2 linked regions of the Drosophila melanogaster genome follow. The protein of the gene in region 2 purifies or fractionates together with the protein of the main gene of each other region. This does not show direct contact. Each region holds a gene or a part of one and is shown on either strand. Other genes may lie near its edges.

Region 1 (18,522 bases), on a different chromosome or scaffold from region 2:
AGTATCCCGAACTGAAAGATTTCTTCAGCCAATGTGGAGGCAAACGGATGTTTCGAATGCTGTTTATAATACTAAAATAAACCACATATTAGTGCACAAATTATATGTTGAAATCTATTAAGTACCTTCACTAGCCAGGGATTATTTGGGCCGCTCTGGAATAGGATATCTCGACCGCCGTTACCACCAACTTCCAAATTGATAACTGCCCTTTGGGTAATAGTTTAGAAAGTTCATTGATCTCTGATCTTAAACTCACTTGCAATTCGGTGCCCACTTATGCTGGGTGATGAAGCCATGGGAGGCCTGTAGAGGATTCTCCTCGGCGCCATTGAACAAAAAGACTATTGGATGCATAAACTCGCTCTCGGAAATGGACATTTGACGCAGAACCTCCAGCATAACTACAACCATTGTGCCATCATCTCCAGCGCCTGCAATAAGCTACTAATTTGAAGATGCTATATTCGAAGATTAGTTGAGTCAACCCACCTGGACTACCTGGCTTCGTGTCGAAGTGACTGTTGATTAGGAGATAGGATGAGCTATTCGAACTCGCAGTGCTCAACTTGACGACCACATTCTGAATGCCCTGATAAATGCTGGTCATGGTTCCCACCACATAGGAACCCGTCGGCTGCTGGACGTCCACCTCCAAGTGAAAGAGGTCTCCGCGCATTTCGCTCCTAATCTTTTCCACCTCGTTTAAGAGAAATGCAACCGTCGTCACCTCGTTCGCTGTGCTCCCAACCACTTTGGGTCCGATACGATCCAGTTCGTAGAGTATTTTCTGCGCTCTCTCGCCCACAAATTGGCCGGGTTTAAGTGGCTCGTCGGCCATGGTTACTCGATCTGGAAGCCGGTAGAAGAGCGGAAGTACGATGGCGTAGAATAGCGCCACCCACAGAAGGAGAAAGGAGGGTGCATAGTACCATGGAAGCCTTCGCTTCAACTTCTTTTCCTTTGACAAGACATGGTAGAGAGCGGTGTCCGAAAAGCCTTCCTGGTTGAGTAAATATGTGATAAATTTACATTGGCAAATATTTACTTATATGTACTTGCTTTATCGCCGTCAGTCAGCACTTCCATATTTCCAACTCGATTCCGCGGGAAAAGAGAACTGTGTCGATGTCCAGCAGTCTCACTACTGAATGCTTCTAGTCTACTCGATTGGCACTCTTCAGTTCTTTAAGATAGCCCACAGAGCGGTGTGATAGGAAGCCAACAACAAAATTCATGGAAAACCAATCATTCTATGATTTAGATGTTTAGATTACCCATAGTTAAAAGTTTCCCTGTTGGTCCGATTGGATCAACGCCACCAGAATTAATCGAACAATCTACACACGCGACTAAACGTAAGCGTTTGATTATTAATTCAGGGGAAATTCCATTACTCAAAACATTGCGTTTAATTAGAATACTTAAATGTACGTTCTTAAGCTAATAGAGGCTCTTAACAGAGGTTCTTAGTAATAAAAGGTAGCGAGATGTGCCATAAGTCCAGCAACTTAGAATATATATCGTTCATACAACGTAGGCCATTCCATAACGTGAGCAAAGTCGGGAAAATCGGATATGAACTTCAGGCCGGCAGCATCTCGATCATAATCGTAGCTAACAAAACTGGCAGCGAATCCTAGCTGGAAAGTTGGAGTGCTAAAGTCACCCGAGGATTTCTATGAAGAAGAGCGTTATAGTAGCAATTTCAGGTATTTCGGAAGTTCTTAAACTCACTGCAAAATCAATATGAAACTTTAAGGGGGTATTATCCGCACCGTAGGCAAAGAATATTTGATATGGCGGTGAGTAGGTGTCGGGTTCATCCAGCATGTTCCGAATGAATGACCAATCCTCCACTTCAACCCCATCCAGAGGTTGAATATACAGGCTCATGTGCGGTGGCCCCGAGATCTCGAACTCAAACCTGGCCACCTTTCCGGAGTCCAAAACTGCTTTGCTGAGAAGCTTTAGGGAAGTCGCTCCTGGAATGGCCACCTCCTGCTCCCGAGGCAACCAATGGCTCTTGGCGCGCGTCTTACACCAACGGTGATTGAAGCAGGGAACTCCGCACATCAGGTACTTATCGCACTCGGAGGATGTGCTAGCCAAGCCAGTTAGATTGACAGAGGTGTTTTCCAGTGGATAATAGAGACGACGATCCTGGAAGTCGAAGTAGTAGCCGGAATCACTGAGACTCACGGAGCCATCGTACTCATAGAAAATGCGCCGAACGTGCTGAGGGATTACAAGTGTTTTATGGGGAATGCACATAGCTTGCAATGAAGCATGTACGTACCAGAAAGTGAATTCTCATAACGCTGGTCTTTGCCCGATATGGAAAGCCCACTTCAGAAACCGCTATCATGCTGAATATAAACGTGACCACTCCCAATCCGAGCAGTGCCAATTTGGGCCAGCGGAATATGTTTATCAGAGGAGCCTGGGTAACCATCGTCAATTAGATGTATTCTTAGGCTAAAGCCTTATTTCTTACCACAAATCCCAGTGCAAAGAAAGTTCCAACCGCGCAGATCAGGGCGATCAATAGATCAGGATTGGTGCCGTGTCCAAAACGCCCCAGCATCGGAAAGAAGACCAGGAGAAAAGTGTAGAATAGGTAGCAGAAGTACAGGAAGGGCACTAGTTGCAGGACTTGCACCAATACAACCCAATAGTATCCTGCAAGTATATCCAAGTTACCAATCTATGTGGAGGATTCGATTTGCCATGAGTTACCTCGATCGTGTAGAGTGCTTAGTAGATTAATCAACAGAGCTCCTCCATAAAACAACAAGGACATCATGCACAGATACGGAGTCCTTAGGCTTATAGCAGTGAGGATAATGGCAATCAAGGACAGCAGGACACAGTGCGCATGGAGGCTCATGTGTATGTGATTGGGGTGACTGATTTCGTCCTGCAAAGCAAGTCCTAAAAGTTAACATATATAGATTTTTAAAAGTGTTGGCCACTCACATTTGGTTTTAGTGTGTAGTAGAGAGTCAAGGGCAAAATCTGGCCAATAATTGCTGGAACGATGAACAGCCCAATGACCAGCCAATTGTTGCTGAAGTATGTCATGGAACGGTCTCCGGCATCGAACAAAACTGCCATCAGCAGCGGCAGCCCGAGACTGAGGATCATTCCCAGCACATGAAGGACCAGGATTATGGCGAACCATATGGACACTCGGCCTATAGAGACATCCGATTCGCGACCCATCCTCAAAAGGGAGCAGACCACCAGAACCAAACTGGCAACGGCGATGCAGCAGTTAAGGACTATGCCAGTGTTTTCCGTGTAGTACACAAAGAATAGGCCCAGATAGTCAAAGAAAACAGCGTGTCCTTCGCTGTGATCCTGTCAAATAAAAATGACACAATGAATAATGAGTTGGATTTCCCCAAAACCATTAATGACTCACCTCTGGATTCTGCATTTCAGGCGCATCAGCGAAAGCCCGCACCAGAGATAAGGCATTGTCTCCAGAACTTTGTAGGGAATCAATGGGCACCGCCTGAACATTATCAAAAATGGTATGGTATACATAGCCATTGCTGATTTGCGCCATGTCAAGGCCTTTGGGGAAGAACCTGTTCAATACACAAGCCAATGAAGCATTCGCGTGACCAACTCACCTGGCAGTTGTCCGTAGTCGCGAAAGATACGGAAATCCGTATCGGATGGCAAAATGCCAGACTGAAATATTTCCTCGGCCATTGTGGTGGCAAACGGATGTTTAGCATTCTGGTAATAGTACTATGGGTAGTAAATGAAGTAAATATCCGATTATCAATAAATGCCGCTTTCTTCAAAGGCAATTTCATCCCGCCATCAGCGATTGCCGCTAATAACCACTCGAAATTCGATAAACAAATATGATTTTGAATGTACATATATGTATACTGTATAAACGGCTGATAACCGTGAGCATGGCAAAAAGTTTTCCCAGCAATTAGTCATGGTTGCATGTGGTACATACCTTGATCAGCCACGGATTATTCGGTCCACTCTGGAACAACAGGTCACGACCTCCGCTGCCTGCCACTTCCAGATTTATGAGAGCCCTGCAGAATTATCCCTCAAGTTTTAACTGCCATATTCGAAATTCCAAATGCAGCCCACTCACTTGCAGTTTCCCGCCCATTTATGTTGGGTAATAAAGCCGTGCGATGCCTCCAAAGGATTTTCCTCAGCTCCGTTGAACAGAAACACAATGGGATGTTCGAATGGGGTGTCCGATATGGCCACCTGGCGAAGGACTTCCAGCATGACCACAACCATGGTGCCATCGTCGCCGGAACCTAGAAGCAGGTATTATTAGTACCCTTATAAAAAGAGCAGAATGTGTTGTTACCCACCAGGACTGCTGGGCTTGGAATCGAAATGACTGTTCACCAGCAGGTAGGATGAACTATTGGAGCTCCGGCTACTAATCTTAACAACCACATTCGTGACGCCCTGGTACATGTTCACCATCTGCCAATGCATGTAGGCGCCCGAGGGATGTTGGACATCCAGCTGCAGCTCGTAGAGATCACTGCGCATTGCCGCCCGGATGTTCTCCACCTCCTCTTCGAGAAAGGCCACCGTTGTCACCTCATTCGCCACACTGCCCACCACCTTGGGTCCGATCTTGTCGTATTTGTAGAGCAGCCTTTGCGCCCTCTCCGCCACAAATTGTCCAGGTTTACTCGATTCATGCGATATAAGGACGCTATCGGGCAGGCGATGGTACAAAGGATATACCACTGCGTAGAATAGAGCCACCCATAGGAGGAGAAAGGATGGTGCGTAGTACCAGGGCAATCTGTGCCTTCTCAGCTTTTGCTGCGATAAAACATTGACCAGTGCCACGTCCGAGTTACTAGCCGCAGACCCCTTTAAAATCGATTAATGGATTAATTAAAACACATTGATTTCTTAAATCCAAACTTACATTCTTTTCCCTCGACTTCATGTCGACAAATTGTAGTTTCTGATCGGTCGCGGAAGTCGAACAGTTCCTTTGGCCAGTCGGGACTGAACTGAAAGTGCCATTGACTTGGGGCACCGAAAGTTGAAGGTGGACGGATATTATCAGCAGTGATTCGCACTTTGAATCCCATAAAGATAAATCGCTTTATGCACGCCATATAGCGTTCGATGCTAACGAGAATGTGACAAACGCGACGGATACTTTCCAGTTGCTTCCCAGTTGGTTTTGCAGGTTTTAGTATCTAAATGGCAGGATTTATGGACTGCTATCTTTATACTCTTTACTCACTTTAAACTAGATTGAAAGCATTGTTTTTGGCACGCTTGTTCTATTCAGCCAGTCACTACGGCCAATCACTTCATCGAAAGTCTTATCTTTATGTCCATATGCGGTTGCTGCATACATTCTCGTCTTGGGCTTCTTCAGTACCACATCTTATTGAGACCACAAAATGCCCAATAAGCTCCATATTAGGGTAGTTCAATGACAAAGTAATCAGTTATGGGGTTCAGATGTTTATTTCCATTAGTTAAGAACGTTGTGCAAACTTAAAATGCCTTCAGGCTTCTTCTTACAACAAAATTAAACGGTTGTGCATTATTATATAAAAAAGTTACATATCTCGTTTCACAGTCGAATTACAAAAGTCCATTACAAAAGTTACACATTATACAAAAATAAAACGACTCTGTTATAACTATCCTATCGATTTGTACTTGATCAGAGTGAGTCCATGGTCTGCGATTATTGTCGCATCGACTCCATCAGTTTCTCCAGCAACTTGGCGAGATCATTTGCGTACGGAACGCCTGCGTACTTATTCTCTTCCTCCGAGAAGACCACCGACATCTCCACCCGAAGGCCAATCAGCAGTTTAAAGAGCTTGGTGCCCCGCAGCATGCCCTTATATTTGGCACCGAAACCGAAGAGTTTCCACAACATGAGGACAGCCAGGCGGTGCTCCTCGAAGGAGTTCAGCCCGTTTTTCTCGGATGTGGGTGCTTTTTGGACCCTCTGCTCCAAAATATCACGCAGCAGGTTAATAAAGTCAGCCAGCTCCACGAGCCGGGGGCGATTACCATTGAAGAAGCACATGTTGCGGAGTATTCGAAGGCACAGGATCCGCTTGTGACTCAATGGAGGACTACGCCGAATCGTGTTTATAAGAGATTGAAGATGGCAAGCCTTTCCTCCTACGTCGTACCGGGAAAATACCTCCCAGAATCCGAGCCATGCAATCAGTACAGGTGGTCGCACTTTAAGATGTGTTGAGCACGGATTAGCAGGAAGGATTGTGTCAAACATATCCAGCAAATTCATTTTGGACAAACTCAGCCGACCCTCGGTGCAGCAACAGCAGTTTACCATAACCCTTAGTGCGGGCACCATATTCAGAGATGGCTCTTTGTTTGGAATCTCCTTCTTGGTGGTCTCGAAGTCAGCGACGCGAGCCATTAGGTGTAGCAGGGATTGGGCATGTCCCGACTGAAGCAGGGATATCTGTTTACACATTTCGAATGAATGCTCCGTAAGGAACATAATCAGCTGGACAGTAACCTTTTTTAAGTGATACGAGTGCGATAACCAAGGCCAAATGCGGATGAGGATTTTGGCGATATTCGCAGCCATACTGGTCTGGATGATCTCAGAATTGGGAGAACTATGCCATTGGGATAGCATGTTAATCAGTACCAAGAGATTGCTTATGATACTTTGCGCCTTGTGAGGTCCCACTCGCTTCACATAGACGGCGGCGTTTCCGATTTTTTCGTCATTGAGAAAATCGTCCAGAATGTGAACTACCTTGCCAAGCAGCTTCGATTCTCCGGCTGCTTTCACGGCCCAGGTTGATGCCTTAAGCAGTTCGCCGAGTGCTTCACAAACCTGCACCTGGCCCACTGCAGGAAGTTCCAAAAAGTTTAAGGCCTTCGATAGATAGTAACGGTCAAAGAGCTGATCCAAGCGATGGAAAATTATAATAGCCGCATTAGTGGCCTGGATCGCATGGTTTGGCCTTTGCTTATTGTCATCCGAATTATCCGAGGATTCATCGTAGATGCATTGCGATACAGATTGCTTCTTTTTTGACTCGAATTCTTGTTTGCCATCTTTAGCAATATCAGGATCACTGAATGCTAATTCGAACTTCTCCAACTCACTTAGCATGCTTATATCATACGCAGCAAGTTGAGCTTTGGTGAACACAAGTGATAATGCTGACAGAGTAAAGCGCTGAAATGGCGAATTAATAAGCTTCACATGCAATCCAAACAGGAAGAAATCCATGAATAGAGATGGCTTATTCTTTATCTGTTCGATGAGAAATGAGTTCGAATTCGAGTCCGTGCAGAATATGAGAAACATCTTTAATAGGGGAATCACCATGTACTCGGGACATTCCAAACTCAAAACATCGTTGATCAGCGTTAAATAATTCTGCAAGAATACAGAATCTCGACAAATCGTCATCTTAAGGAACTCAAAGTTATTAGTGTAGCACATCGAGTACAATTCACAAATTTGGGATGCACACAGTTCCACAAGCGGAATCGAACAGGACGCCTGCGACTTGAGTTTTTTCATCACATCGCTGAGACCACTCATCAAACTGTGGCCGCAGAGCGCGGCACACCACTCTGGCTTCATGGCCACCATTTTGGTGCATATGGCAACATAGCAGCTAATTACTTCACACGAATGCCGCTCACCAACTATCTTCTTGAACATCCAGGGAGTGTCGTGAATTGCTTTCAGCGAATTGTAGGCGGTCTTTAGTAAGTCATGTTTCCGCAACAATTCCAAGCTACTTTCGGCACCAATGAGCGGCATCAGAAGGATAAATACTCGTCCGGCCAACTCCCTGATCAGCATCATTTCGTGGGCATCCGTCAGAGTGGTTAAACAGCAAGCCGGCAGTCCGCCGGGTAGAAAATCCAGGCGAGGCAGAATTTCTGCTACCTGCGAGCCACAGATGGTTATCCAATTGGCCAACGATACCCAGGACAATGCACGCACTTCACTGTCACCGTGCCCGCAAAGTGTTAAGAAATAGCGCAAGACCTTATATGAAGCTCCGACATCGTTTGGGATACTGGCCTTGCTGGACGCCTTTGGCTCCTGATATATTAGATGGATCTGGAGCTGACAGATTATGTACAAGCAGTCCCGCTGCCACTCGGATCCGGTTTGAGTTGAGGTACGTAAATTGCTGGACAATTGGATAAAATGCTGAGAGTAGCTCTGCGGACAAAAATTCAAGGTAAGAAATCAATATCTAATGACGATGATCCTTTACTCACCATCAACTGAGCATTACTAAATTTCAGATTTCGCTCGCTTACAAAGCGCAGCATGCAAAGTATGCAGCGAACGTGCTGCAGCTGGCGCAATTCAAAGTGCGTCTTGGCCACGGCACTCAATTGCATAAAGAACTTGCCATACCAGTTCATCGAATCATCACTGAGCTCGTTGGACAAAAGCTGCATCATGCACTGGCAAATCAGGAATAGCTTATCCAGAGAAATTTGGCTATCGTGCAGGAGTAATTGGAAGCTGTGATGATGATCCGTTTCCAGAGCGTAGCTCAGTCCGTTGATAGCATGTGGCTGGCTGAAGCGAATGCATGTTACGCACAGATCCAGCATGGACTTGTACACCTTGTCATCCGCTTCGTTCCCCGGCGCTAAGCGGATGTACTTATGGATTAATTTCCACAAGTTCTCAGCCACCGTATCACTTAATGAGTTTCGCAGAACCACGAGAAATAGCTGAATGGCCGACACAGTTTTTTGCAGATCCTCGTGTTTGCTGCAATTCTCCGCTGCGATAAACTGACAACTTAGCTGCTCATTTAAGTCGGAGGATCTTACTAACGCCAAATCGGCCATTTTGATCTTAAGAGACTCCCTTATATCCAAAGCGCTCACAGACTCCAAAGTAATGCTGGATGGAACCTGGCAAACGCGATAGGCCATATACAGTCGCCAATGCTGTGCAGCTTTTGCCCTATCTCGCCCGAAATGGGTCGCCTCCACATTTTGTTGCAGCTCCAATCCTTCCGTAACGGCAGTGGGTATAACTTTATGTTCAATTTCATAGGTTACAGGCAAAATCAGGGGTTCCATATTCGCATTCAGTACCAGTTTGTCTTCAGTGGAGGTGATACAATTCTGGAACAGCATTTGGAACAGGCATATACTGACATCCTGGCGCAACTGTTCCAAGTGGGGGAACAAGAATAAAGCCCTCAGCAGTAAAGTGTACACCCCGAATGTGTTCGCGACTTCTAATCGAAACTCATCGTCATTGAACAGAAGCTTCATCAGGATACTCACAGTGGGCAGCAGAATATCAGTGTCGTTCCCCTTTTTCAGAGCGTTGTGCAGAGACTCCATAATCAGTCGATATCCATCCTCCTTTGTGGAGAATTCCTCACAAGCTCTCCAGTTTCGTAGCAAGACATTTAATTGAGTCATTGTTGACTTTCGGATATTCGACTTTATGTCCTTGGCCTGGAGTAATCGGAACAGGGCGTCCAAGCTGCGCTGACCTTGAAACCGCTCATCAGAGCATTTGATGAAAATGCTTCTATAACAGAATGGTGGTTGAATTATGCAGAGATCGTTGGCGATGTGCTCAACCGGTACGTTGCTTGCGGTGGGCAAATATCTATTCGTTTGCTCCTGACATTGCAGCACGTAAGCAATTGTAGTGGTGGCCTCGCTCCTAACCTCGCCATCCGGATGGAACATGAAGTAAACGTACCCGCGCAGCATCAATTGCGGATCCAAACGGCTGGAGTCCGGCTCTAAAACGTTCCATATGACGTTGTGCAATATCTTGTGTGTAACCGACCTGCTGATCAGCAGAGGCAGCACGGGGAGTAGCAACGGGAAAACAACGCTGAAATCCTGCGGAGCTAGAATAGCGTTTAGCTTCATAATCATTATAGGATAGTCGAGGCACCACTGCTGCATACGTTCCGAAGTATTTGCTTCCGAACTCTGAATTATCATTCTGCGTAACAGCAGGGGAGTTAGCGGCACGCCTAAGATATGCTGACGAATCAGATCCACATTGCTGCAGCCGGTCATATAGACTGTCTTGTTCATAAAGGAATGAAAGTGGGCCACGGTGGATTTGATCATTAAACGATATATAAGTGAACGAAGTTTGAGAGCAGGCAAATCAACAAGGGTGTAAAGCAGCTCATCCGCATCCTTTCTTAGCTTTAAATTGCCCGCGTAGAATGGAATGCATTTTACAACAGCTCCGAAGAGCTGCTTTACCAATGTCTCACTGCCCAGTTGGACGAGCACAAGGCACACTTGTCTGTACTTCTGGATTAGCAGCGACCCAGTCAGTTCCGTATTCGGATGTAATTGATTTAGGGCCACGCTGTAGGCCCGCTTCAGCTTGATCAACTCCTCGTCCGGTGATGGTCCAGAATCCAAAGACGATATTAGAGTGTTTAGCGACTTCATGCGCTCGGGCATGCCAGACAGGTAAGCGCTGTCCAAAACTATAGGTTGGATGAGTGCTTTGGCTTGGCGTCGGTCCATGCGTTTGTCATAGTTTATATTTAAGGCCACCATATCGTGCAGCACGCCGTTAAGGATCAGCGATTGCAGGCGGGGAATCCTGAGCGAGTCCATCAGCTGGGTCATGCAACTGCCTTCTACACTGTTACAATACGCCAGCAGACTTTTGACCGCGTCCGCGATGAGCGTAATGCTCACTAAGGGAATTTTTGAGCTGAGAACATCGTGGGTCCGCACTATTTCCACGATCAGCTCCATTATGTGCCAGTTGTCGTTTGTGCAGCTGAACAGCAACGGACGAATCAGCTTCATGCAATTTTCCAGCAGAATTACCAAGGCGCTCACCACCTTCACTTGCTTGGGGCGTGACGGAGGATCGAACCTGTCCGCGTAGCTCAGAGTGTTTCGGCGCAACAAGATGCGCTGCTGCAGCAGCCGCAGGCAGGCAATTAGTGCCCGGTTCACATGTATCAGGCTACCGTCAGTCATCGTTTGCAACTGAACCAGATGCAAGAATACGAACGGTGGCTGCAGAAAGTACTCAGTTGGGTAGTCGCCCATACGGATGATCAGTTCGGTGAGCTGCAACTGCAACTCAACGCTATTTCGTGGCAAATCAATCATGCTCTTCATGGTGGCCACATCGTCCAAGCACGGATGCGACCAGGAGGGCTCGTAATCTTCCGGTTTCAGATTGTCGTAAATCTGATTCGAACTGCTGTCTGCGGATTCAGTTGCCTGACTGGGAATGTCATTTGAACTAAGGCTGGAGACGCTCGGCGTCACCCGGTCTATGTTGTACTTCTCGAGAAGCAGCAAATTCATATCATCCAGCAATTCGCTGACCCGCTTGGACTCCTGCTTGTGTAGCACACGGCGAACCTTCTGCAGCTCGGCCTTGAAGCGTTCGTAAGGAATCTTGCGAATCACCGCCTCGGCGTACTCGGATCGAAGGAGTTCCATAATCATGGCCAGCACACGGTCGGGCACCAGCGGCGGTGTGTACCCGAACCAGCGGATGAGCTGCTTCAGCAGCAGGACCGGCTTGAACTGTATCGGCTCGCCCAGTTGCAGGCACCTGATGAATCTCGTCTCAATCTGGTCGAGCGCGCGCATACGGATCTCTTCCGATTCGCTAGTCAGCTTGGTTAGCTGCCCCTCCGCCAGCTGGAGGGCCGGGCTCTGTTTGGTACTCATTTCCTTAGACTAATAATACCCGACTTTTAGTTCGTTTTCACTTCTCTTCCAGGCAGCAAACGTTTTAGGATGTCATTTTTGAAAGCGTCAAACTCGAATTTTGGCTGGCGTTGCCACTCTGCTTGAGTGTGCGTTCCCTGCATAAGGGTCTAAAAATACTAAACCTATTAAAATAGTATTTCTCCACCTGACACCTCGCATCAGCAACAACGAACAATATTCCGCATCAATCTTTTATTGCTCCCTAAGAATTAGGTGCTTTTCACACATAATAAACAATTACTTGAACCTAATCCCTTTTTTGTTGAAGAACTTTTATTCATCTAATTGTTTTATTTTTATATTATTTATATGGTTTTACTTAATAATCTTATAAATTATGCCTCTGATATTTGCCTTATTTCACCAAAACTAAACTACGCGTATTAAATTGCCATATTTGTCTATCGATAATTTGGTCGCAACCGAGTTTGTTATTTCCCAGCATGGCAAGCACGGTCACGCTAGCGCTGTAGGTTTAAAAAAAAGTCGCCCATCTGATTGGACTTGAGTTTGTGCTTAGCGGGTAAATAATAGAGTTTGTTTGCCGCTGCGGTGGAGAACTAGACTTTTCTCTCTGTGTGTGTGTGTGTATAAATGCTTATCTTGGGTTTCATATCGTTTTGTTTACGTGCCGCTCTAAAGTGTAGCTGTGCGATTGTGAATACAGCCAAACGCTTTGTAACCGCTAATCATTGTTCGCCAACCGGTTATTTGCAATTTAAACTTCAACAAAGTGCTATTTCTGATCATTCTTATCCTTGTGACCCATTCATTGTTCCATTTTGAACAATAAAAAGGCTCCCTCGTGACGTCATCGGTTGGATTGTGTTGTTTTAAGTTTATGTTTTTGTTTGCTTTATTTTTGAGGCAAACAAACTTTACTCACACATACATGTGCACAGTGTACGCACATAGTGCCAAATGACACTTGATGAATTCGTAGTGCAAACAAAGCATATGCTGGAAATGAAAATGGAAATAGCGAAATGATGTCACTGGCGCACGCCCGGGTAACTCCCTCGCCCCGATGCCGCCCCTACCACACCCCAGAAACCATTTCGCCGGTCGCAACCTTCGCTTTTCCACCTTTTGCGTACATATATGTACATATGTATATCTCACCATCCAGTTGGAAATCAATGGCCCGTCTACTCTTTTCTAATTAGAAATGGCATGCAACTGCGATTGACATTCCGATTGGATGTCGCTCGAGTAATTTACAATTGAATATTTTGGACACTGAGCCAAAAAGGGGAGCTAAGCAACAAGTTCATTATTATTTATGGCTAATCTTATCGGATTGGCCACTTAAGTGCCCGATTATTGGACCATTATCGTCCCGCATCTCCACCCATTGAACTTCGACCGACTGAAGCAAAAAAGATTTATATTGCACCAGGAAAATGTTTGCCATTTGATTTGTGTCACTGCAACCCATTAGTATCAAACTTTGAATGGCTTATAAAAGATATTCCATTAAATATTATGAGTGAGTTCTAGGAACCGGCCTCATGAGACTTTGAGCTATTAAAGTGTGAATTTCTATTTGTAACTTTAAAATACGAAAAACCCGGCTCTACTGAACATTTCTGGCTTACAAACCAATTTAAAATAATTGCCATTCATTATACAGAGTGCTTTGAACTTCATATAGCATGCTCTTGGCAATTTTACCCATTTTATTCGTTTGTTATTCAAAATCACGGGCAGACAAATTGTCACCACCCCCCCCGTGAATATTCACCCCAACCGCAATTTGAAAGTGCGAACTTGATTATAATGCACTCACTGCATTCAAAATTCGAATGTCTGGCAGTTCAATTAGCAGACTGCGATATGTTGAAAGGCATTCTTAATAGAATAATCAAATCGTAACAACATATTATTCTTATTATTAATATGTAGATAAGCACATTGCGATAGGAAGTGGGAACTTTGAGTTCCACTAATCATTCACGAAGCACTTTTCGGATTGCTCAAAACCGACTATTTCAATTGTTGCTCTATTTTTTATGGCAAACGAATGGCATAAACAAACAGCTTCGACCTGTGACTCACTCCGCTTATCAGTTGGTTTTTTTTTTTCTGTAATACCATTTGGAGTACTGATGTGGATATGGTTAACGACCTGGCTGTTTAGTGAGCTGACGGGGATCGGCTTTTCGGCTATTCACCACTCTCCGTGGTCTGCTTCCCTTTGTGCCATTATCTTCTCGTGTTTAAGCAGCGAATTAGCTGTCTGATGCGCACTCCTGATAAGATAATGAGGTAAATCCTGATTCTGGCCGGGCATATGGCTCCCTTAAACATTATACTGCCCCGATTCCAGCTCTATATATTAACCATATATCTATGTGTGTATACATATATCCAATTCCATACAAGTTTCCATTGTTCGTTTTTGTAAACAGTGAAATGTTTACGAGTTGAACAGTAAAGTCATTTGTTTAAACAACCTTTTCCAGAACAGCGAAGTATTATGCATAGGCTTCCTTTGGCTTTTCTTCGTTATCCGGAAATACACGTTTTTCCCAATACAATACGTATATTGTCATTATTTGCTGAATTTTAGTGCAATTTTCAGTTACTTTATTTGTTTTGGGACCAATATAATGATCGCGGTTTCCTACTCTATGTATGCACTTTGGAGAAAAGTTCTACATTTCGAATATAGATTCCATATTTCCTATGTGCCTTTATGAATCCATCTATCCATGAGTCACACACAGGTGTGGACTTGGCCTATCTGGGAATGGGACGGCTCAATTAATTGCCGAGTCATTAAACCTGAGATGTGTGAAAAGAACTACAACTATGAGTACTATATTTATTTTTATTAAAATTGTCACCAATTTCATTTATTATTGTAGATAAGTAATGCTAAATACTATTCGAAATCATGAGACTTTGTGGCATGAAAACACGAAATAATTCAAGACACATAAATAGAAATTTTCCGTTTCGATATGAAACGTTCATATATTGCGTAAAACCCATTATATCCATAAAATGAATTGCCGACTTAAATGACTGAATTACCAATCATAAATCCAGAACGAGGTATTTTGACCCAATTTTATATTTCTACTGATTTGTTGTTTATTTTTTACTTTTGCTATATAAGGTCTTATAAAAGTTGCCTGATAAACCAGTTTAAATTGCAAATAAACCACATTCATGAGTGCCTTCCTTCATTTAAGTATATTTAACATGAATTTTCAATGCATTTATTTCATTTTTGTTATCGTTTCAACATTCCAGAGCAATAACACATGGGCCAGGGCAAAGTACACAGCCACCAACACCCGCAGTTCCAATTCTGAGTCCTAGTAGCTGAGCTTCTTCAGGCGCACATTCCTTAGAATTCCACAAAATGGCGAAGAGCGTGCCACTGACCCAGGCCATTGGTGGTTACATTTTCGGCATTCTCCAGGCCTGCATTCGCTTTGTTTTCCGGCTGATCTATGGCCAAAAGGGTGAGAGTGTTCCACCGATCACAGATGCCATTCTCTTGGAGTCCGCCACATCGTTGGCACGGAAAATCCGCAAACAGGAGGTGAGTGTGTGCAATCGTTTCATCTACAAAACACCTAACTTTCACTCATCTTGAGCAGCTGAGCAGCGTCCAGGTCTTGGAATCATTTATCCGGCGCATCAAAGAGGTGAATCCCATTCTCAACTGTGTCGTGGATGAACGTTACGATCAAGCTCTCAAGGAGGCAGCCGAAGCAGATGCCCTGATCAAGTCTGGACAATACAGCACGGAGGAGTTGGAGAAGGAGAAGCCCTTCCTGGGCGTGCCCATTACCACCAAGGATTGCATATCCGTCAAGGGTGCGTAGCTCCCATAAGTTTCTTAATTGGATTACCATTGCTATAGCTCAATCATGTGTTTGGCTTTAGGCATGCTGCACACAGCTGGACTCTTCGAACGTCGGGATGTGCGTGCTGCGCGGGATGCGGACGCTATGGCCTTGATGCGCAAGGCGGGAGCCATTCCCATAGCCCTCACAAATGTTTCCGAGGTGTGCATGTGGTGGGAGAGCAACAATACGGTGCACGGCAGGACAAGGAATGCCTACGACACTAACCGCATTGTCGGTGGCTCCAGCGGTGGCGAGGGCTGCATACAGTCGGCGGCTGCCTCCGCCTTTGGCTTGGGCTCCGACATTGGCGGCTCCATTCGCATGCCAGCCTTTTTCAATGGCATCTTTGGCCACAAGCCCAGCAAGTTGGTCGTCTCCAATGTCGGTCAGTTCCCAGCGCCCTTCAGTGCCGAGCAGAACTCCTTCCTCGGCCTGGGACCTATGTCACGATTTGCCGAGGACCTGCGACCCATGCTAAAGATTATGGCTGGCGAGAAGGCGGCCCTGCTTAATCTGGACGAGGATGTGGACCTAACCAAAATGAAGTTCTTCTACCAAGAGTCCGATGGCGGCGGCCGCTTGGTTTCCGCCGTTGATCCAGACTTAAGAGAGGTAAGATAAATGACCTTCTTTCTTAATTAAATCCTCTAATCTGAAATCTTTCTTGCTGCAGGCCATGAACCGCGTGGCACAGCACTTGAGAGAGAAGTTCGGCAATCAGAAAGTGGAGCGCATCCAGCTGCCCCACTTCCGGCAGTCGGCGGCCATTTGGTTTGCCAACATGCGCGACGACAGTGGCCATGGATTCGCCTACCAGCTAGGCAACCTGAATCATGACATCAACACGTACCTGGAGCTCTTCAAGTGGTTCTTCGGCGCTTCCAAGCACACATTCATTGGCCTGTCGACAGCTATCATGGATAGTGCACAGTGCAAGCACGGATCTCCCAAGTACGATCATCTGGTGCGCAAACGAAATGAGCTGAGGGAGGAGTTGCAAAGCCTGCTGGGCGATAATGGTGTGCTGATCTATCCCACGCATCCCACGGTGGCTCCATACCACAATGAGCCCATTACGCGACCCATTAACTTTGCCTACACTGGTATTGTCAATGTGCTGGGCTTCCCGGCCACCGCTGTGCCGCTGGGCAAGCTGGGCAGCGAGGGTCTGCCACTGGGTGTCCAAATCATCGCCAACTTCAATCAGGATCGACTTTGTTTGGCCGTTGCCGAGGAATTGGAGCGAGCCTTTGGCGGTTGGGCCAAGCCCGAAGTTCGGCTCTAGGAGCAGTCTCAAACGTGCAAGTATGCAGCTTAGCTAGCTTTTAGATAGTAGTGGTCAGGTTAACGTCCTGGTCTCCCCCCACCCATTACTAACTACCCCTACCCACCCGAGCATTCGCCTGGCGATGAAAGGTATTCCTTGTGTACTCCAGTGCCTCATTGTAATATCAATTTTCGATGTGGATTTATCTATTTTGTATGTGTTTTTAAATGTAATCTAATCATAGATCCGCGCGGATCCGTTCCCGTTTTGCATTTATAATAAATAATTGCAACCAACTGATATCTTTGTTTTCATTAATTGGCGACAGGCGCCCATTGACCAAACAAGCAGAGAAGTCAGAATTCTGAATTCGAAGCCAACGCGTTTTGTGGCTAAACAAATCTTTATTTTGAAAGACCAACCTTAAAAATATGCCGACTCACCGCCTCAATTGCTTTTAGTTTGCTTTTGTTTTTTAAACATTTTCATTCGGCAAGGAAAACTAAACCCACTACAACTAGCGATATCATGGATATCGTATTCACATATGTAATTCCGATGCTCCTCTCATTCTTCGGCAACGAGTTACATTCGTAATTTGGTCACTTAAAAACTACTCGGCTGTGGGCGGTTCGGCAGGGCAATCCTCGCTAGCCTCTAGCCCTTGCCGCCCAGCGACAGGATGAGTTTCAGTAGCTCGGTGCGCTTCGCCTTCACGGTGTCGATGTGCAGCGACGGCAGTCCGTCGATCACCTCGTATCTGTTTAGGTAATCGGCAATGTGGTCGGTCATGCAGATAACATGGATGCCACAGTCGTAGCCGTTCGCCTGCTGTAGGCAGCGCATGGGCCGGAATTTGGCCATTCGGACGCCAAGCAGGTCCTTGATCTTGTTCATCAGCTCCAGGGAGTTGCCCGTGTTGTTGTTCCCATACGAATCGAAGTGATAGAAGGTCTTCTCCGGACGCGAGAAGACCAACAGTGACCAGTGGCTGCCACCAGCATCGGTGGTTTCGTTGTCGTTCAGCGCGAAGAAGATAAAGGGCTTGCCAGTGGTGTTGCTCTGGTCGAGAAGCTGCTTCAGCTCCTGGTCGCCCATGTACTTCATACACTGCGTAATCTCCGGCGCAATGAAGTGCAGATCCGCATTGGTCTTGTACTTCATGTGGGCCAGGTATTCGTAGTAGAAGCTCAGGATCTGGTCGTTCAGCCAGTGCGGGCCGTGGAGCAACTGGACGTCGGACATCCGCAGGCAGGAGTCGTGGAAGGTCAGCGAGATGGGGTCTGCCTTGGAGTTGCTGCCCATTTTGGTATGGAAGCTATTGTTGGTGAATCTGGGGCGCCGGCGATTCGTATTCTGGTTCTGGCGTGTATGTTGCCTGGAATGAAAATAAATGGCAAAAAATTGATTTAAATCATGTTGTTGCGACTAGATTCGTGTTGTTCCAGCTGGCGACTATCACCTAAGTATTTTCCTATCGTGGGGCAACATTTTCACTAACAATCTTCGCGAAAATTCGGCTAAAAGAATAAAATTTTTCCGGCGACTAATACAACTCCAGGGTTTCAAAGTCAACGCAGGAATGACGTTTTCGGTTTCCTTTTGCTTTTGCTTTCCCTTTCGTTTGCC
Region 2 (13,809 bases):
AGAGTTTGCTGGCGGTGCCGACTACGCCGACACCCAAGGATTCCATCGAACGCCTCGTCTACAATCGCGAGCGAATCGATCCCGATGATGACAAGTTCATGGACCAAATGCTAAGCGATGGCTTTGAAATCTTGCGTCGCGACAGCAAACTGGTGCTGGCCAGCCTCCACAATGGCCATCAAATTCCGGAAGTACGGGAATGGATTTGTAGGAGATATGGTAAGCGATATGGTCCACAAAGCCATGCGGATTTCGAAAGCTACAGACACAATATGGCTAAATTGTCGGAGATGGAAAAGAAATTGATTCCGCTGCTAACTAATATAGATCCGCTGATCGTAAAACAAAATCCCATTCCATATGCACTGCACAAGGAAATTATGGAAAAATCCAACAAATTTAAGAAGTCATTTCGCGATGAAGTCCTTCAGATCGTCCTGAAGCAATCCCGTCTCTGCTGGCAGGCGCAGCACAGCCTGCGCTTTGTCAACAGTTCCAGGATTCGTCGTACCTTTTTTACTTATCTGCCCAGTTCTGTCAGGAGTATAGATCCCACCTTCAGCTACTACTTAGCTCGTAAAAATGGCTAAGCACACCTTAGCTCCTAAATCAGGATTTTTTGTAAGAACAAGATTTTACAATACCCGATGTAGTGGTCATGACTGACTGACATTCAATTATTTGAATCTCTAGTGCGTAGTGATAAGTTCAAGACTAAATTGATATGTTTTTATACCTCTGACTATTTTTACCATTTGACAAGTAGAGCTTCTGAATATAGAAATGTATATGTTTGATGTGTTTTTTCTATTTTATTAAGGGATATTTGGCATTAAGCTATCATAAGATTTAAAAAAATTTGTGGACGGCTTTTGTCTGTGCCTAGCCGACCGTTTATGTGTTCCATCCTTGTCTAGGGGAGTGCTAACTTGCTCTCCTTCCAAACAACACGTTTGGACCACACACTTGTCGCGCTTTATAAGCACTCCATGCGGAAAAAGAACTTGGGAATTTTAAGAGCCCATTGCATGAAAATTAGTGATATGCATATAACAACTTTTAATAATGTATTAAAACATATTTATGCAATGTGTATTTATTATAATTTTCCATAACTCATAAAAAAAATTATTCTGGCTAACATTGACACTGAAATTAATGGGCTGATTGATTTCCCGTTTTGGGCACCTGCAACGTGACATTGACGACAACTCCAAATGACCACAAGGGCCACTGGATGACCCAGTCATTAACCAAACGACCACGTTTTACCACCAAAAATTGATTAATCCATCCACGTAGTACCCGAAAAACATATAAAAAGACAGGTAATGAACAGCAAAGTTATCAATCAATCAACAACGGTTCCCTCATAAGTTCGTGTATCTCTTGCGTCAAAGCCAATATGCGCAGCTACGTGAAGTCATCCTGTTCCTTGCTGGTTCTGGTCCTGGCACTTGGAGCGGTTTCAGCTCAGCCAGCACGGCTGGCAAAGCAACTTCAGAAACAGCAGGCAGCACCCTATCCATCCGCCGACGAACTGAAGCCGGAGGTGCCATTCGAGGAAGGAGTTCCGGATCAGACATATGGACCACCGGATCTGACCTACGGCCCACCGCCTACCGATGCAGTTGAGCAGCTACCCAGCGATGAGGAGCCGCAAGACTTTACACCCGATCCGGATGCAGAGGAAGTTCAGCCTGTCCAGCAGGCACCCGCTCGCCTGACCAAGCAGATTAGGAACGGTCCACGAGCTCAAGGACTGATTCTGCTCTCATCGAGTCCATTGAGAGTGGCTAATTCCAATGGAATCCCATTCCCAGTGACCATTCAAGCCCTGTGGTAGGAATACTAAATAACATCAATTGTACTGATTTTTATAAACATTATATTAATTATTGTCTTTGTTACCGATTGAACTATTAAAGAACATTTGTTGATACACCGAATTGATGTATTTACAAAACTTTATCGAAGGTCCCATTTCGGGACCAGTACGGCTAGGGGTATACATATATATGTATTTATAGTTGTATAATTACAAATAATCGAACGATAAAAGTATGCAGATAACATTAGCTAATTTCGGTTTTTGGGAAATTCTTAGCAGTTGCTTTGGAATGATCTGCCCCGACCTAGACTACATAGTAAAAGCTAAATAATAATTTAGTTAAGAATACTACGTAAAATCACGTTTGGCATTGTGCGGTCATCGAGTTAACACAGAAATAATCTCCAACTGACAAACTGAACAAATGTTGAAAAACTTTCTACTTAAAATGCTAGTTATTGTCTGGTACGATTGCAGCTGGCTGATAACAACAAAAAAAAATGCAACTAATTTGCCATAAATATAAATTAATCACACTAAAGCACCGCCACTGGACTGGACCGATACCAGTTGGGAAATGGTAAACAACTAATGGTAAACATATTCGTAGTCTGAGTGTAACTACATAAAGCCTTCGTCATAAATTCGCACACATTTGTAGGCAGAACTAGCCAGGTTCTGTTTTCGATTCGCTTATTTCGATTAAACTCAGTGGGTTCTGTCGTTCAGGATTTGAGCTAAGCTGGCCCAGGTGCCAAACACAAAGCCACAGAGTCCAAAGATCAGGATTAAAACGTCCTTCCATAGCATCCAATTGAAGCGTCCATAGCCAACGTTGTAAAATGTAATAACTTCAATTATGGGTGGTGCAATTAGGGCCAAAGCTGAGCTGCTGACGGCTCCTACCAGCGAGATAATGGAGCCTAGATTGGGAATGCAGGTGGCCAGCAGGACTGTGAAATAAAATACGATGATAATTGGAACATTTTAAATATTGACTATCTATGCGTACAGGTAAAAGTGACCAGAACAACTCGCAGCACAGTTGCTGACAAATCCTTGGCCCTCGTTGTATCGAAATGACTTCGCACAAAGGGCTCCACGATGTTCACAGGCACATAAAACTGAAGCGTATACGAGAGGAAGATGGCCACCGCCATTGAAATCCGCACCAACTGGGAAAGTCTAAATATGTAAAGAGGAAGACAATTAAAATATTAGTATTGCAGTCTGGGAATATCATTAAAAATTGTTATAACACCTTTTGCTAGCTTTATTATCATGTAATTTAAAATTATTTAGACAGTAAAGTTAATAACGATCTTAACTATCTGAACTATCAATATTTCGAATAGCGCTTTTCAAATAGCAAGAGCATGTAGATTATGTATATCAGCATGAGAAATATTAAATCCCTCTGTCTTACAACTAAAACCGATTAGCAATGGAAAGTTTAAGGACTTACGTGTCGCCCTGCGGCAGATTTAGGGTAATGCTGCCCTCCACGTGTTCGCCGTACTTCAGGTAGCCGAAGAACCCGACAGCTGTGTACAAGCAGGCCACGATCACCATGCCCGTGTTGAGGACACCTGTGGTGCCGCCAAAGTCCTCGGGTGTGCGCATATTGTTCTCCAAGGGCAGGACAACACCAATTCCCTCGAACGCGTAGATGGCGGTTCCAAAATATAGAGGCAACGTCGCCCAAGTGGCCACCGGCTTGACCGTGTGCACATCCGGCAGATCCACCAGCATGTACGAGAATGTAATGGCCAGTCCGGCAACTGTGAGCAGGGCGGCAACCAGCGAAACGGGTGTCAAATACTTCAGATTCCGCACCAGATTCAACAGGATCATGGGTCCAAGCATTATAAGCAGGTAAATCTGCACAGGCATCTTGTAGTAGTGATCCATAACGTCCTTGATATTCAACGCCACAAAGAGGAAGTAGACGCAGCAGAAACCGATTTGCGTGATAAACAAGAACGTGGTAACAATTCGTCGAGCCAACATGGAGTATCGTCTTAGTCCCAAAGGTCCCGACTCAAAACTGCAGTATGCCACCTCCGAGAAATCTAACGATGGCTGCTGGAATCTCCGGCACAGCTCGTGGGAGCAGTTGACCAGCATGTGCATGCAGTGAGTGCAGATGGCTCCCATGATCATTGTGCCAAAGAGTCCCACATAAAGTCCGGCGTTCTTAAAGGCATCCGGCATTGCCAGAATGCCCGTACCAATGTTGCCCTTCAGCAGATGAACCAGGGTATCGAAGTTGGACGTCGGATGCTCCAGGTCGCGATGATGGGTGGGGTTATAGGACTTATCCGTCGATCCAATTTCATCATCTCCCGATCCAGAGGCTGCTGCGTGCACTCACAGAAAAAAGCGAAAAAATTATAAGTTTCTCGTCATACCTCAATTTACTTTGTAATAACATATTTTGACCTGGTCACAAACTCACCTGCTAAGCTGTCCTCGCTGTGCACGTTGACGAGAGTGTTGTCCGGCGGAGAGCTGCGCACGGGTCGTGCTGCCGATCCTCGACTGCCCTCGTAGTCAGAGGCATCGCTCTGGAGGAGCAACGGCTGTCGTTCCGTCATCTTTTTCTTGCGCGGCGCTCCCTCGGGAATCTGGAAACAGGGGTAGGTAAGTAACTAAGAGCGTTGGATTTTATGATGCGCCCTCTCCGGCTGCACGAAACAAACTAAGAGTGCAACTTGAGACGCCCGCTTTTCGCCTCGGAAATTTTCCGCTGACTCAGTTTTCCACGCTTATAACAATAGGAGGTGCAGATAGTGCGTTGCATAGTGGACAGTGATCGCGTGCCGGGCGGAGTAGAGTGGAAAATTTCGACCATGCTGATAGTCCAAGTTAGCCTTGGACTTGACTCAAAGTACGATTAATGTGATCATTTCATTACTTTGCATATGGGTCTGATTACGCGTGCTTCGGAAGTCGATATCATATTGACGAGTTCGTCTCCCACTAGAGTATAGCTTTAAAGTCGAAAACACCAACAAGTCGCGAAAAACAATCCATACGTAGAGATAAGACCCGCATATCTCCTGCGAAGCCAGCGAGCATACCATAAATCACAATTATATAATGTGTATCCAGACGGTGAATCAAATATCCACCCATTATATTCAGATTATTGACTTGAGTCAGCAAACGGAATTACTCAAGTTGCATTATTGTGATATTTAATACTACTGATAAATTTCTTGAATGAACATATAAGGCGAGAAGAAAGTTTTCGCAAATAAACGTGAAATCAAAGTGTTAACTTAACAAATACAAATTATAATGAGAGATATACATAATACATAAATGATACATAGGTTCGAATCATTCTAGCGTTGATATCATTTGCATATTTATGTATCATGCATGCAGTATTCTGGTTATATTGCCATTTTGACAAGTAATCATGCTTTTCTTACTTTAACACTAGCTTTAAAAAATAGATTTAATAATTCCAGTGTGCTTGCTTTTAGAAGACCTACATATAAGTGCTACATGGTCATAGAATGTGTGCTATTTATTTAGCGAGGAATTAATAGTGCTTAAATCGTAAAGTCTACCTAAATCCAGACAAGCAGCCGACTTATGTCAAGAAATCTTTATTTGAGAGCCATAAAGAAATCAAACAAAGCATTACGAACTTATTTTCGTTTTATCTTGCATCACAGACTTGCACAACAAGGTGCGACATTACAAAGATACATAACTATATCTTTTTCACTTACACTGACTGTATCGGAAATTAGATGTATCTCAACTGGAGATGGTTGAGTTGTAGGAACGCGTCTTTTGGGCAGTTGGAAAAATGATAATGTTGAAACTAAAACTGAAACAAAAACATAATTAACAGATGTACGGATACGAAATCAAAATAAACCCATTCAGCATGCGCAATTTGATGACCAGATGTGTCTGGCTCTGCTCTACCTGTTGAAGGTTGGTCAAAGGTGTCAGGTCCTCCATTGATTTTTTCCCGCTTGACACTGACAATGAAATGGGTGCTCCTGCGAAGGTCACAACGCTGGTTTATCAATGCGAAGAGCCAATCAAATTATAAAGTTCATTTATTGCTGAGTTTGGGGTGCGTGGTGGGAGGAGGCTATGGCAATTATCTTCTCCCAGTCTGCGAATCGAACAGAGAAAACATCAGCAATGAATCATGTTGTGTTCATATAAAAGAAGTTTGATAACACGCTGCATCACTGTTGCACATTGGATAGCAAATGTTTATTGTAACGTTGCAACGCACATCATACCCTTTTGTGGTGTTTTAAATACATACGTTACTAATTTCTTCGAACTCAACTCGCAATAACAATTGCCTCTCACCCCAAAACAAGCACTGAAGAAGCAAAGCAAGACACAACAATCGAGGATGACTTTCCGTATCTATCGATTAATTCGCTGATTTGGCGGTACAGTGAAAATCGGATAGAAAACTTTATTAACGGGTTAGAAAAAGAATTTGTGTTTCTTTTTATATAAATTAAATTATAACATTACCTCTCAAACATATGCAACATTAAAAAAGAATCGATAGCGGTCATTAATCTATAAGATTTGTTATGTTTTAGTTTTAACTAAAACACAAAAATTTTTTAATATATAAACCTATTCTTTATTAAACTTCAAGGTATTGAGTGCCCACTGTACTTGCGCCTTCATCGATAAAGCTATCAGTATTATTTTCAAACTAGACGAACGGTCCTACTTTTGAGTTCTCTCCCAATTTGTGACGTGTCTGCGATTAATTTGTTAAAAAGCGCCTTTATCCTTAAATATCCGGACAAATATCACATAAAATAGCAAAATGGTGGAGCTGTCGAGCGTCATTTCCAAGTTCTACAACGACTACGTGCAGAATACGCCCAAGAAACTGAAGCTGGTGGACATCTACCTCGGCTACATTCTGCTCACCGGCATCATCCAGTTTGTTTACTGCTGCCTGGTTGGAACCTTCCCGTTCAACTCCTTCCTATCTGGTTTCATCAGCACCGTCAGCTGTTTCGTCCTGGCAGTGTGCCTACGCCTGCAGGCCAATCCCCAGAACAAGAGCGTGTTTGCCGGCATTTCGCCGGAACGCGGTTTCGCCGACTTCATCTTCGCTCATGTGATCCTTCATCTGGTGGTCATGAACTTCATCGGTTAACAAAGCTACAAACATTCTGATATTCTCGGATATATTTATAAATAAAATGTAACTCTAATTGTATGTTCTCCTATATGCGCCGAAAAAATCGAAGGGTCCTGGTTCCCAATCCAAGTGGAGTACTGGTTCCTTAACAGCCATGATCATGGGATCTACTTTCTCCGCATAGTCGGCTAGCTGGGGCTCGCTTATGGCCTTGCATGATTCCGATTCTTTCGATGTGTGCTTTAAGGCATCCGGTTTTCTATTGTGCGGCACCAGCACAGAATCGTTGACATTGAGAGGCACCAGGACCCCGAATACAACACGATTCGGAGCGAAGTTCATCTTTTTGGTGATCTTTGGGGTAGTTACAGAATATGTTATTATAAAACAGTATACATAATTGAAAACCTTAATTAACCTGTGGGGCGATAAAGTTAGAATCCTTATTAAGGTTCATATCCAGCTTAATGTTGGATATGATATGGGCCTCGTTCTGCTTGCGCACGGTGGTGTTGCATTTGGGCACGGCTAACTTGATCTCCGGGTTTTTCCCGTTGGTCATTGCACCTTCTTTGGCTTTCGGACTGTCCGGCGAACTGTTATCCGCATGAGAACCGTTGCAGGATTCGACGAGCACATTCGGCGGTGCAGACGACAGTTTGGCCACAGAAACGCGTCGCGCTGTGAAATTCCTTTGGTTCGCATGTACTCGGTTCCTACGTTTGTGAGGCATTTTAAGCAGACTCGCAAGAATTATGGTAGTACACTTCAATTCGCCTCTGATATAAAACAGCACGCAACACTGATTTGACCATTTAACAGCACTGATATGTCATCATCTGTAAATTTCGCGTTACTTTCCGAGACCTTTTTCCGATACCCACTGTATTCAACATTCTCACACCGGTTCGGGACTTATACAACACTGACCCATAAGCAGCTGTTTTCTGAGAACCAAATATTTTGATAAATTAATGAAAAATGGCATTATCACGCGCCAAGCCCGACGAACTGCCCAGGGACGCGGTGGTCATAACAGAGGATCAGGCCCTCAAATACCAATGGAAGATTATAACTTCCTGGGACAAAATAGGCGAAGTGTGAGTGCATGAAGCCTTCTAAAGTTGCCGCTTACCTAACAAGCGATCAAAATATTGCCTTGTAGATGGTCGTTGCGCTACACGCCCGGAATTCTGAGTGCTTTGGCTGCGGGAACGGGCGCCTACATAAATAATCATTATCGCACCAAGCTGCGACTTGGAGGACATGGTCGATTGTCCACTTACCTCCCGATTGTCGCCGTTCCCGCCATATTTACCATGCTGGCGCACAAGTTCTTTATTCAGCGGCCCATCCTACTAAATCCGCTGGGCGAGTGCCCGGTGTGCATCCAGATGCGCAGTGCTGCCTTTCAGACAAGTCTGGGCATCGTATATCCCACAATTCTGGCCCCATTCGCCGCATTTCTGTTCGCAACCCGCTGCTACACGTACCGTATTCCCTCGATTACGGAAAATCCCAGAGAAGTGTTTCTGTTGTGGCGGAAATTTACACGCCCCATTGTCCCAGCCTTAGGAACCTTAATCGGCCTGCAGGCCCTGCTAACCATGTTCCTTACTGGCCAGGAGGACAAGCAGAACTTTAAACTTATGTTACGCATGAGGGAGATCGAGCACCAGGTGGAGGAGGAACACTTGCCACAGCGAATGGACTTTTAATTGTTACACATTGTTAACTAGCTCAAATAGAGGCGCATTTAAGAGCTTATTCTAAATGCATTTTTTAAAATTTGTGATTTTTTACATATATCTGGAGGGTTCTAGAGTGCAATTAATGTAAATTAAGCAAGTGGACTTAATTTTAAATATAAAAAAATTATTTTCTTCATTATGCCATCTCTAAATCTATCGATATCTCATCCAGTTTGCCGCATTGTCTATCGAGCCAATCTCACACGTTGCTGCAGTCGGCTGACGAAATTGTTTGCATTTGCATTTACTGTTTGAAACGTGAGTAATACATAACTTGTTTTGGTTAGGTACCAGTGTGGTCTATTTACATATACGAAAAATAAACAAGTAAACGTTTTTTGATTCAATTCGCTTCCAAATTGTATAACTTTGTCACGTACTGTGCAAAGTGCACTTTCACTGCTCCGATTTGTGGCCGTTTTAAGGGGTTAGGGAGCCCCAATTGTCGCGTGGCAACGTTTACACTCACGATTTGTCCTTTGCAGAACCAGCAATATGAAGTTACTCACAGCAAAGGAGGTGCGCAACGCCTATCTGGACTTCTTCAAGGAGCAGAAGCACATCTATGTTCACTCGTCCAGCACGATTCCATTGGACGATCCCACGCTGTTGTTCGCCAACGCCGGCATGAATCAGTTCAAGCCCATTTTTCTGGGCACCGCTGATCCCAACAGCGAAATGTCCAAGTGGGTGCGCGTGGCCAACACGCAGAAGTGCATTCGCGCCGGTGGCAAGCACAACGATCTGGACGACGTGGGCAAGGATGTCTATCATCACACCTTCTTTGAAATGCTGGGAAACTGGTCCTTCGGTGACTACTTTAAGAAGGAGATCTGCTCCTGGGCCTGGGAGTTTCTCACGCAGCGACTCGCCCTACCCAAGGATCGTCTGTATGTGACTTACTTTGGTGGTGACGCGGCCAGCGGTCTGGAGCCCGATCTGGAGTGCAAGCAAATGTGGCTGGACTTGGGCCTGAAACCGGAACACATCCTGCCGGGCAGCATGAAGGACAACTTCTGGGAGATGGGCGAGACTGGGCCCTGCGGACCATGCTCTGAGCTGCACTTCGACCGGATCGGCGGGCGCAGCGTTCCGGAGCTGGTCAACATGGACGATCCCGATGTCCTGGAGATCTGGAATCTCGTGTTCATCCAGTACAACCGTGAATCTGATGGCAGCTTGAAGCAACTTCCCAAGAAGCACATTGATTGCGGCATGGGTTTCGAGCGGCTGGTGTCCGTCATCCAGAATAAGCGATCTAACTACGATACCGATCTGTTTGTGCCACTTTTCGATGCCATCCAGGCGGGCACTGGTGCCCCACCTTACCAGGGTCGTGTGGGTGCCGACGATGTGGACGGCATTGACATGGCCTACCGCGTGCTTGCCGATCACGCCCGCACCATCACCATTGCTTTGGCTGATGGCGGCACTCCGGACAACACTGGCCGAGGCTATGTGCTGCGACGCATCCTTCGTCGCGCTGTGCGGTAAGATAACTTAATACTACGTCTTATATACATTATATTACATTAGTCATTAGTCATTATTCTTGATCAATTAAAAAATTACACTCTCTAAGCAATAATAATCTTGACATTATCTTCCCACAGTTATGCCACTGAGAAGTTGAATGCCAAGCCCGGTTTCTTCGCCACCCTGGTGAACACAGTGGTTGATCTGCTTGGTGATGCCTTCCCGGAGGTGAAAAAAGATCCCCAACACATCATTGATATTATCAACGAGGAAGAGTTGCAGTTCCTTAAGACGTTAACGCGCGGGCGCAACTTGCTGAACCGCACAATCGAAAAGTTGGGTAACCAGACTACCATTCCCGGAGATGTTGCTTGGCGGCTGTACGACACCTACGGCTTCCCAGTCGATCTAACCCAGCTTATGGCAGAGGAGAAATCCTTGAAAATCGATATGGATGGCTATGAGGCAGCCAAGCATAATTCATATGTGCTTTCGCAGGGCAAAGGTGCTAGCAAAATCGAGGAGATCAATCTGGATGTGCACGCCATTTCGCAGCTGCAGGAGCAAGGTGTGCCACCAACCAACGACACCTTCAAGTACAAGTACGAGGCTGTGTCTGACGAACGTGACTCCGCCTACAACTACGGTGTGTGCAATAGTAAAATTGTTGCCCTGCGCTTCGAAAACCAGTTTGTGAACGAGATCACCAGCGGACAGAAGGCGGGCATCGTTCTGGACAAAACAAATTTCTATGCAGAGAGCGGTGGTCAAATCTACGACCAAGGTGCACTGGTTAAAGTCAATGACGAGGCGAACGAGTTCCTTGTGGACCGTGTCTACAACCGCGGAGGCTACATTCTTCACATTGGCGTTGTAGAGGGCACCCTTAAGGTGGGTGATGAGTTGGAACTGCACATCGACGTGGAGCGTCGCTGGTTGACCATGAAAAACCACTCGGCCACCCATGCCCTCAACCATTGCTTGCTGCAAGTATTGGGTAAGGACACCGAACAGAAAGGCTCTCTGGTAGTGCCAGAGAAGCTACGCTTTGACTTCAACAGCAAGGCGGCAATGACCATCGAGCAGGTGTCCAAGACGGAGCAGCTGACTAAGGAGATGGTGTACAAGAATGTGCCGATCTACGCAAAGGAGTCGAAATTGGCCCTGGCCAAGAAGATCCGAGGCCTGCGATCGGTCTTCGACGAAGTGTACCCGGATCCCGTTAGGGTAATCTCCTTCGGAGTGCCCGTAGATGAACTGGAGCAGAATCCCGATTCTGAAGCCGGCGAACAAACCTCCGTCGAGTTTTGCGGCGGCACCCATTTGAGGCGCTCGGGTCACATAATGGACTTTGTTATCAGCAGCGAAGAGGCCATTGCCAAGGGTATCCGAAGAATTGTGGCTCTTACAGGACCCGAAGCTCTGAAGGCACTGAAGAAATCTGAAGCATTTGAACAAGAAATCGTCCGGCTTAAGGCCACCATTGATAACGATAAGTCCGGTAAGGACTCCAAGTCGCATGTGAAGGAGATTGTTGAGCTGACTGAACAGATCTCGCATGCTACGATTCCCTACGTGAAAAAGGACGAGATGCGCAATCTGCTGAAGGGCTTGAAGAAAACATTGGACGATAAGGAACGTGCCCTGCGTGCCGCTGTCTCGGTCACTGTTGTGGAGCGCGCCAAGACTCTGTGCGAAGCCAATCCCAATGCCACCGTGCTGGTCGAGCAGTTGGAAGCCTTTAACAACACCAAGGCGCTGGATGCCGCACTGAAGCAAGTGCGCAGCCAGCTGCCCGACGCTGCCGCCATGTTTCTGTCAGTGGATGCGGACTCCAAGAAGATCTTCTGTCTCAGCTCGGTGCCGAAAAGTGCCGTGGAAAAGGGTCTGAAGGCCAACGAGTGGGTGCAGCATGTTTCCGCCACGCTGGGAGGCAAGGGAGGTGGCAAACCGGAATCCGCCCAGGCATCGGGCACAAATTACGAAAAGGTGGACGAAATTGTCCAATTGGCCAGCAAATTCGCTCAGTCGAAACTGTCTTAAGAGCATAAAGGATTCGAAAGCGGCAAGACCTTCAATTACTCACAATTTTGATACACAACTATGCTTAATCTTAATCCGTTGATCTGTTTTAAACAGCATTTCAGATGAATTTTTACGGCTATTTATAAAATAAAAGCATTTATACACTAAATTAATTACATAATTGTGTTTGGCTGTATTCGTACATCGTTGAAAAATGATTCGGGCTAGTTCACACTTTAAAAACGGGTCCTTTATTATGTTCCACATGAAAAGTTTATAATCAGAACTGAACTTATTTTGAGCATTTAATTATATCTAAGCCTTACCTATATCAGTAAAGTCTTTTTAAGTAACTATTTTAAATAAAAAATTCGTCAGTATCTATGTTTTAAACACGATAAACATTTGCAGAAGCCCAATAAAGCCTAAGATTGGTTTTTCTGTATAATCCAATCGACAGCCTCTGCAAAGTTTTCCAACAACGCTGTTGGAGGTGGGGATGGTTTGACATCCGGCAGATATTTGCCGGTCTTGACCAGAATTCCCTGCATGCCCATGCTCATGGCGCCCACTATGTCATCATTGGCATCCTGCGAATCAAGAATTCGTTAAGTTTTCAAAATGTATTCCTTACTTTACATACATCTCCAATCATAACGCATGAGGCTGGATCCCGACCAGCCAGAGCTCCTTCGAAGAAATAAGGATTGGGCTTGCCAATCACTTTGGCAGTTCGTCCTGTAGCGAACTCCAAACCCTTGACAAAGCACCCTGGGCCCAAGGCTAGGCCTTCTGCTCGTTTGTAGTACTTACCCTGATGCACGGCGATCAGTTTGTGATTCTTGTTTTCCAATAGAACGCTATTGCAGAGATAATCGTTAATTGAGATAAGAATATCCTTGCTCGGATGCTCACTTAAAAGCCTCATTCAGCTGTTCATAGTTAAAGGCCTTGGGTGCCAGACCGATTACAACTGAATCCTTATAGCGCCTAGTGTCCTCCGGCGGAAAGTCCTGTCGTGCATCCTCAGACAGAATATAGTACGGATTTAGTCTCTCATTTTCCACATACGAGACTGCGGCACTCAAGGAGCTGTAGATCTCAGAGGCGTCAAGTTGGAAGCCAATCCTGCATAGCCGTTCGTGAAGAGTGGCCTTTGAATCCTTCGTGGTGTTTGTAACGAATTTCACCAGTACGCCAGAGTCACGCAATCTACACGGCAACTTTGAAAATAATTACGAATACCTTGGTTTAAACTAAGCACCTTTTTAACGCCTCGACAGCATTCGGAGTAGGTTCATCCTCCACATGCAAGGTGCCACTGAGATCAATGAGTGCTCCTTTAATAGACATCTTTCTCAACTGTTGAAAGCTTCTCGTTCCTCTGGATAACAAAAACATAATTTCCAGCTGGTTCGATAGCTTTCGATAGTCGTCGCGATATGTTTATGTATCAGCAGGTGATTTTCCACAGGTGTAGACGGGGATTCGAATACTTTTTTAAAAGTAAAAAATTCTAGCCGCCCTAAAAATACATCTTAATATATTTATATAATACATTTCTCGAACCT

The links.
Region 1: the proteins of Rcd4 (region 2) and ana3 purify together in Drosophila melanogaster (affinity purification with western blotting; one study listed by BioGRID). This does not show direct contact.

Annotation. Positions count from the first base shown.
Region 1 is NT_033778.4:12,338,282-12,356,803, reverse strand, and holds ana3 (anastral spindle 3), read right to left. Parts: upstream 11,822-18,522; 5' UTR 11,719-11,821; coding exon 8,281-11,718; intron 8,222-8,280; coding exon 5,726-8,221; 3' UTR 5,479-5,725; downstream 1-5,478. Other genes in the region: CG30049 (uncharacterized protein), read right to left, coding at 1-71, 126-210, 260-434, 493-1,003, 1,063-1,089; CG30047 (uncharacterized protein), read right to left, coding at 1,512-1,679, 1,738-2,238, 2,300-2,443, 2,498-2,682, 2,740-2,920, 2,980-3,363, 3,428-3,582, 3,642-3,762 and 4 more; CG8839 (uncharacterized protein), read left to right, coding at 15,134-15,316, 15,375-15,594, 15,664-16,238, 16,300-16,911; Den1 (deneddylase 1), read right to left, coding at 17,551-18,271, 18,356-18,384. UniProt on the Drosophila melanogaster protein: Participes in the structural integrity of both centrioles and basal bodies and in centriole cohesion. Participates in the later stages of centriole assembly through the interaction with Rcd4 leading to the centriole to centrosome conversion.
Region 2 is NT_033779.5:8,376,866-8,390,674, reverse strand, and holds Rcd4 (reduction in Cnn dots 4), read right to left. Parts: upstream 7,815-13,809; 5' UTR 7,720-7,814; coding exon 7,405-7,719; intron 7,341-7,404; coding exon 7,056-7,340; 3' UTR 7,018-7,055; downstream 1-7,017. Other genes in the region: CG42820 (uncharacterized protein), read left to right, coding at 1-590; CG42819 (uncharacterized protein), read left to right, coding at 1,406-1,846; CG13384 (uncharacterized protein), read right to left, coding at 2,540-2,784, 2,844-3,016, 3,297-4,188, 4,290-4,458, 5,780-5,815; Dad1 (defender against apoptotic cell death 1), read left to right, coding at 6,663-7,001; CG13392 (uncharacterized protein), read left to right, coding at 7,968-8,086, 8,152-8,704; AlaRS (Alanyl-tRNA synthetase), read left to right, coding at 9,233-10,227, 10,351-12,256; CG17294 (uncharacterized protein), read right to left, coding at 12,664-12,828, 12,882-13,098, 13,154-13,450, 13,503-13,591. UniProt on the Drosophila melanogaster protein: Participates in the later stages of centriole assembly through the interaction with Ana3 leading to the centriole to centrosome conversion in somatic cells.